2 linked regions of the Drosophila melanogaster genome follow. The protein of the gene in region 2 binds, or shares a complex with, the protein of the main gene of each other region. Each region holds a gene or a part of one and is shown on either strand. Other genes may lie near its edges.

Region 1 (3,752 bases), on a different chromosome or scaffold from region 2:
ACCATGGCGCCGCACTGCTCCAGGTCCACCTCGTAGGTCTGCGTCTGCGGCTGATCCCCGGGCTTCCAGCGGTAGATCTCGAAGGTCTTCAATCGCGGCTTCTTCGCTTTCACTGGGGGTGCAGATTTAGCAGGCGGAGGAGGTGGTGGAGGTGGAGGCGTTGCTGGTGCGTTGCCCGAAGCTGGCTTTCCGGTGGACGCTCCTCCGGGCTTGGCGGATCCGGCGGCGGCGGCAGCTGCTCCTCCAGGCTTGGCGGCTCCGGCGGGGGCTGCTCCTCCGGGCTTGGCGGCTCCGGCGGGGGCTGCTCCTCCCGGCTTGGCGGCTCCGGCGGGGGCTGCTCCTCCGGAGTACTGTCGTTTTGTGGCGATTCCTCCGGCGGCTGATCCTCCGGTGGCTGATCCTCTGAGCCCTCTTCCTCCTTTAATGAATATAGAAATTTCAGTTAAGCATATCAATAAGTGCAGGTGTCATTTATGAAATGTCATTATGACAAAGTCATTGACAACCCAGAAAATTGTGGAATCAGAAAACTTTTCACTTAGAACTAACCTGCTCCTTGTCCACCTCCTTGGAGGCTGGAGTGGGTGCACCGGGGTACCAGGGATACGGCGGATACTGGGGTGGCGGCAGCCAGCGCTGGTCCGGGTATCGATAGGGTGGACATAGGCGCCGCAGGACGGGAAACGGGTTCGGACACATCCCTGTTGGCCAACACGTAATTTCTAAACAGCCACGTGCTCCGTTTATTCAGCAGCCGAGGCTGCCGGCGCAACAAATTCATCGGTTTTCGAGCGAATGAATGAGACTTTAAGTTAAAATGTGTACTTATAAAAATATATGTGTTTTTTTTTTTTTTTTGTTGAGAGAGAATGTGTGCCGAGGCGATGAGGTGTTGAGGTGTTGAGGTGTTGAAGTGTCGAACTGTGTAGCAAAACTGAGGAGAAGCCGGTGAAGTGCCCGTAATACGACTTGACACTAGAGGCATAGCCAGCTGGATTTGAAAATCTTTTCGAAATGAAAAGTTCAGTTTAACTGAGTAGTAGAACAGGCTGCTTTATACAATGTTTTGGATGCGTGGAATTTAAATCAACTAAAGAGAGTTCCTCGACTATAAGATACCCGTTACTCAGCTAGTGGATGTGAGAACGCGAAATTTTATCATTTTCTGGGCAAATCGATAGAAATTTACAAGATTAATAAAAATGCGAAAAAAGATCAACAAACTTGCGCTACGTCTTTGTCTCTAGAATCTGTATGCTGGATCTCAACCTTCTAGGTACGGACATGGCGGACAGACGGACATGACTAGATCGACTCCTGATCAAGAATATATATACTGTACATGGTCGGAAACGCCTTCTTCTGACTGCTACATACTTTTCAACAAATTTAGGGTACCCTTTTACTCTTCGAGTAACGGGTATAAAAATGGATAACAAGTCAGATTTGAATCCCCGTTGCTGAACCGGTAAATTGATATAGAAATTGTAATTCAATCCAAAACCGAACTCATTTTAAGCAGAAATTGTTACAAAAATACAATATATTAATATAAATACAAGTATTAATTAATATTATTAATTTTAATAATATTTTTAATGTTAAATTAATATTTATTTATAGTTAAAGGCACTTAATTATTTAATTATATTTTATTATAATAATGTGATACAATAATAAACAATATTTTCAAACTTATACCGATCGATATGTACCGCCGTGCTGACTGTAATCGATGGTCGCGATGCCCTGCCAATCGACTATCGATAACAACAAACACGAAGATATAGAGGAAAATAGAGAAGAAGAAGAGTTAAAGAAAACGCCAACAAAATAGACAACAAGGCAAGTCCGCGCCTCCGAACAAGGACATTATACCACAAGACACGCTGCAACTAGTTATAAGCCGCATAGCCGTGCTGATTTTCGACCGGAGTACGAAAAGAAAGCAGCCAAAACGGAGGCGCGCAGGCTAGCGGAGATCGCGGCGATGGAGAAGAAGGCCAAGGAGTCGCTGCGCCGCTACAAGAAGGCCGCCCGTCACAGTGCGACGCACTCGAGCAGCTCGGACTCCACCTCGGACTCCGACAGCGGGAGCAGCTCGTACAGCAGCACGGACAGCGAGCAGGGCGTGGGCGGCGTCGGCGTGGGGGTGGGCGTACCTGGTGGCGCCGGTGGTCCCGGCGGCAGTGGCAGCGTCCACGGTCATCCCCATACCCACGGCCATGGGCATCATCCGCGCTCCGCGGAGCGTCATCATCGCAAAAAGAAGAGCTCACGGCGCGGCGGCAGCTCGTCCGGAGATGAACCATCGTCGTCGCGCCGCAAGCGAGACAAACGGGATCATGTGCAAAAGAAGCTGGTGGCCAAGCGAAATCATATCAAACGGAAACTGAAGGAAGCGCGCCTTAAGAAACGGGCGGCCGCCGCCCTCAGTGGTCACGTCCATCGTTCCCTGTCGCCGACGACGCGAGCCAAGCTAAAGAAGCTGGCCGAGCGAAAGAGGCTACGGGCTGCCAGCAAGGAGCAACGGGAGCGGGACAAGCTGCGCGTCGTCCAACGAGACAGAGAGCGAGACCATCATCGATTGGGCAGCAGTAGGAGTCCGCCGAGCAGCAGCACTACCACCACCACCAAGATTCGCATCCATCAGGACATCGTGGGTAAGCGGCAAAAGAGTCCAGGTAACTATCAGATACTACATATAGTTATGTCTAGGCTCAACCCACTAACCCATTAATTTTGCTTGACTTTAAGGTTTAGGTTCTGGTCTTGGAGGCGGCAGCAGCAGCTCATCCTCGCGAATGCATCACCAACTGATGTCGCGAGAGAAGATCATCATCCAGACCCGCGCACGTGGACGTACTCCGTCCCTGGAACGGGAGCGGGAAAGGGAGCGCGAGCGAGAACGAGAAAGAGAGCGCGAACGCCACGATCTCTCATTGCGGGAGCGAGATCGTCGGGATCGGGAGCGCGAGCGTGCGGAACGGGAGGCAGCCAGGGATAAGGAGCGCGCTGAGGCCTTGGCTCGCTGCCAAGAACGTCAACGGGAGCGGGAACGCTTGGCTCGCGAAAAGTTGCGTCGTCAGGAGGAAGAGGAAGGTGGTAAACGCGGTGGTCCCGGTCGAGACTTGGATCTTCCGCCGTATGGCAGCCGGGAGCGATCGCTGGACACCGTCGAAAGGGAACGAGAGCGCGAACGGAGCGGGCGTCATGTCCGCGATAAGCGCGAGTTGGATCCCTACGAGCGTGAGCAAGAGTATCTGGAGGAACGACACGGCCACGGGCTGATCGACGAGATGCGAAGGTATCGGCGCAGGGACCTCAGTCCCATGCCTGAGCATTATGCACCCAGACTGCGGGATCCGCGGGAACTGTACTCCGAGGAGGAGCGGGAGAGGTAGGTTTAGGTTCTGCACTTAACTATTCCACGAAAAGCTGAAACTGTACCATTTTGGTTACTTTTTTCTGTTACCTAGAACATAGTTAACTAGGTAGCAGAACGGGAACCTTTTCTCATTAATGTTTATGGCCACGAAATCGGCATTAGCTAATCCGCTGTTTGGGAATTCCTTATTTTAGAGCCTACAAACGCGCCTATCTAGATGCCCGCTATTCCTCGCGGGAACGAGAAGCCTGGCTGGAGGCACGCGAGTTGCGGGAACGAGAGCTGCAAGGACGCGAGTACCGTGACCTCGAAACGGAAGACACCCTCTATCCGGACGAGCGGGAACGTCTAATCCGGGACAGGG
Region 2 (3,752 bases):
ACCTGCCACAGCTCCTCGAAGGCCTGCGGCGGCAGATTGGTCAGGCAGCTTTGGTTTTGAGGTAGAAAGTTGAACAGCTCCTTGGCGAGCTCCCTGGAGGATCTGGCCTCCTCCTTTACACTATCCAGCATTGTTCGTGAGGGCGGCCTCGAGGCGGACACCTTTATTTGTGTCGGCAGGTCGGTAACGAAATCAATCTCGCGGTGTATATCACACAAAGTGGTACAGGTGGCCACACTCGCATTGGTCGGTACGTCCTCGAGCTGCAACTCCTGCTGCAGATCGCTCAGCGGACTCATGGGCTCAATTACGACATCATCTCGCCACGATAGCATTTCATCAAGTATCTGCCGAATATTTGGCAGGGGCTTTGGTTCGGGAAAGCATGTGCCCACATCGTGGTGCTTGATGAAGGAGGCTGTAGTGGTTCCCCGGGTGGTGGTGGTGTTCTTGTGTTGCGTGGCCTGGTTGCGCGTCTCTATCAGACCTTCCACTTGCACAGCAACAGAGCAAAGCGCGGGCTTGGGATCAGCGGGTTCCTCGTCGGTTTGCGTAGATTGGTTGACTCCGGGCTGATGGGCTTTCCGTTTGCTACGTGAATTCGGGCTCTTTGGCGTGGGCACGCTTACGTCTATAGTCTTGCAGTGCTCCCTTAGCTTCTTCATGATGTTCTGATCCCGCCGCAAAAGTCCACAATCGTCGCCCAGCCGCTGGGAGAACTGCATGAGTATGGACAGCACATCCTTGGCTTCCACGGGTAGTCCCCGCACTTGCAGCTGCTCCTGCAGATTCTCGCAGTTCCCAACCTGTACGTCCAGCTCCTTTTCCAGCTGTCCGCATCGCTCGCCGATCTGCTTGGTGCGCTTCTCCAGCTCGATCCTCTGTTGCTTCTCCTTCTGGTACAGATCCGTCACCTCTTGGGCGGTGCGCTGCAGGTCGGCCAGCTGTTTGTTTTGAGCCTGCAGCTGTTTCACCTGGCGGATCAGCTCGTCGTTCTGGGCTATTCGCTCGGCCAGCCGGCTTCGCTTGGCGTACACATCTTGGTTGCTCCTGGGCAGCGACACCTGCTTATACGGCGCCACCAGAGCATCTTGCAGCGGTGCGCTTGGGCCCAGAAGCTGATCTATATTGAAGTCGGAGAACTCGTCCAAATTCATGTTGCGCAGACTTGTTGTTGCTGGATTTCACGTGGTTGCGTGTTCAAGCGCCACTGCGGTTCTAGAACTTGCAGAAAACAAGGAGAATCCTCATTTTCCACACAATTCGCTAGTCGGTCACGAGTTGGACAATATTAAGCTGCGCATCTGGCGATTTAATACACAAAACAGAGAAATAAAACAAAATCCGCGTTTTTCTCTGCAGCCGGTCTCCAAAACATTTCCCTTATCGACAACCCAGCACGAGCCTATCGATATATATGGTATGGGACTATTTTATGGAACTCTTATAGGTCGTTCTCACTACTTCGTTTTTGATAGTTCACACTTTATTTATAATAAGAGGTTCGAATTATAGTTTGATAATATTGTAGAGGAAGTAAATTTTGAATTACTGATAATAACTAAATTTACATGATTTGCGTGCGTCCATTGAAGGGAAACAAATGTACTCTGAATCAGTGCGATTCCCTGCGTTAGGTTTAAGCCTATGGTTTTTAGGGCTATTTTACAATCTTTTAGAAAACATTGAGAGCATCATTACCAAAAATGGGGAATATTGAGAAAAAATCCAATTCATTTCTAGACATGAGCCAATTGTGACGTTAAAATTTGATGCATTGTTTTGCGCAAGCTACTAGACTGAGACAATTTTTGTTTAGTTTTTAAAGATGTATTCAACATATTCTAAAGCATACCCTCTTGAATACCCCTACCAATTGTAGTAGAGCAATTGATGATATCGATCACTTATCGTCTTAAGTTCCATCCCTAGCAGTTGCGGAAAATAAATAAAACTTCCGGACTGTAGAAGATTTTACTGAAAAAGACTCGATTTAAGCACACAACATGGCCGACGTAGACGACGGGTCCGAGCTGCTGTTCTTCGACACTTTCTCGCATGAGGAAGTGACGGTAAGTGCCTCCAGAAGCCCCCACTCGGTGCATTCGCTGAACCCCACTTCCTCCTCTCCTCATAGGACATCAATTTGGATTTGGTGCAGTTTCCCAAGCCGGTCTTCATCACACAGGTGCGGATCATTCCTCTCGGCGCCCGAGTCCAGGCAGACTTTCCCGGCGGCGTTCGCCTGGGCGCCACCAACCCCTCCAAGTTCGACCTGGAGTTCTTCGTCAATGACCTGGGAATGCCGGCTGCGTCGGCATTCGAGAACCTCGGCCTGCTGCGTTACAACCAGAACGACTGCATTCACTTGGATTGCTCGCAGGAGAAGATCGTCACCGACGGTCTGGTGCTGCGCGGCTGGTACAGCACCATCACACTGGCCATCTACGGCATTTTCACCAACTCGGTGACCGAGCCAATCGCCAGTCCAACGCTGCCCTGCGAGCCCGTGGGCCCGGAGATAGCCAACCTGAGTGGCGAGGTGCTCCTCCAGGAGGATGTGCTGAAAGACGAGTGGCAGGAGCCGATGCAGGCCGAACTGCTGACCGCTCACAAAGGAAATGTCAGCGATTACGATCCGGAGGACATGGAGTATGGAATGTCGCGGGATCATTACCACCAGCATGCCGAGGAGCAGGAGCAGCGAGAGATGCGACGACTGCGTCGGTCCACGCATTCCACGGATCACTCACCGCCACCGCCCAGAAGATCGCACACGCATTCGGAGAGCAACGACAGGGAGTACATCAGGTGGTAAGTGGTTATCTGTTTTATTTATTATATTCAGACTTATCACAGACCTTTCATTGCAGTTCCCGCGACAAGGGCTCCAGGGATTGGTCGCGTTCACCGGAGTATTCCAGCCATCGGTCACGTCGCAAGCGCTCCGAGAGATCTCGCTCCGTTGTGGACGAGCACAAGTGGCCCAGAACCCCGCCCGCGTCGATAGACTCACCGACACGTCCGCGTTCGCCAGACACGATGGACTACGAGGACGAGGACTCGCGCTCCCACTACAAGATGCAGTCATCTCACTACCGGCACTCCTCCGAGTCGCTGCACCGTGGTGAACGGGATCGGGACGATGAGGACCGATCGTGCACGCCGCAAGAGCAGTTTGAGCCCATTCTCAGTGACGACGAGATCATCGGCGACGACGAGGAGGACGACGCAGTGGATGCGGCTGCCATTGCGGAGTACGAGCGGGAGTTGGAGGCTGCTGCTGCCGCTGCTCCTCCGGCCATCGATGCTTTCGAGCCGTGGCAGAAGCCACTGTTGGTCTTTGAAGGGGACATGGCAGCCCACTTCTGCAAGGAGCTGGAAACTCTGAAGCTGCTCTTTAAGAAGCTGGTCCTGCAAACCCGCTGTGAGAATGTTAATGCCTTCAGCGAGGAACATGGCGCTAGTGTGGACGAAAGGGAGCAATTTGTGTACTTGGGTGAACAACTGAACAACCAATTGGGTTACCTAGCCCAGCACTACAAGCGGAGGAACTTTGTCCTGCAGCAGTTCTTCGGAAACGATGAGCTACATCTGCGACAGGCGGCTAACGTGCTGCAGATTGCCCTGAGTTTCCAGGCGGCATGCATGCAACCACAGCCAGCTTTTAAGATCCGCCACATCAAGCTGGGTGCGCGAATGGCTGAACTTCTGGGCAGTAGCGAAGAGCTCTTCCAGCACTTGTTGAAAGA

The links. The genes of interacting proteins can lie anywhere in the genome.
Region 1: vir (region 2) and Flacc share a complex: the UniProt entries of both Drosophila melanogaster proteins name them as parts of the WMM complex.

The regions. Positions count from the first base shown.
Region 1 is NC_004354.4:18,891,691-18,895,442, reverse strand, and holds the start of Flacc (Fl(2)d-associated complex component), read left to right. Parts: upstream 1-1,806; 5' UTR 1,807-1,990; coding exon 1,991-2,684; intron 2,685-2,757; coding exon 2,758-3,400; intron 3,401-3,582; coding exon 3,583-3,752. Other genes in the region: SdhBL (succinate dehydrogenase, subunit B (iron-sulfur)-like), read right to left, coding at 1-418, 550-781. UniProt on the Drosophila melanogaster protein: Associated component of the WMM complex, a complex that mediates N6-methyladenosine (m6A) methylation of mRNAs, a modification that plays a role in the efficiency of mRNA splicing and is required for sex determination.
Region 2 is NT_033778.4:23,364,509-23,368,260, reverse strand, and holds the start of vir (virilizer), read left to right. Parts: upstream 1-1,905; 5' UTR 1,906-2,006; coding exon 2,007-2,072; intron 2,073-2,137; coding exon 2,138-2,814; intron 2,815-2,873; coding exon 2,874-3,752. Other genes in the region: Ice1 (uncharacterized protein), read right to left, coding at 1-1,157. UniProt on the Drosophila melanogaster protein: Associated component of the WMM complex, a complex that mediates N6-methyladenosine (m6A) methylation of mRNAs, a modification that plays a role in the efficiency of mRNA splicing and is required for sex determination.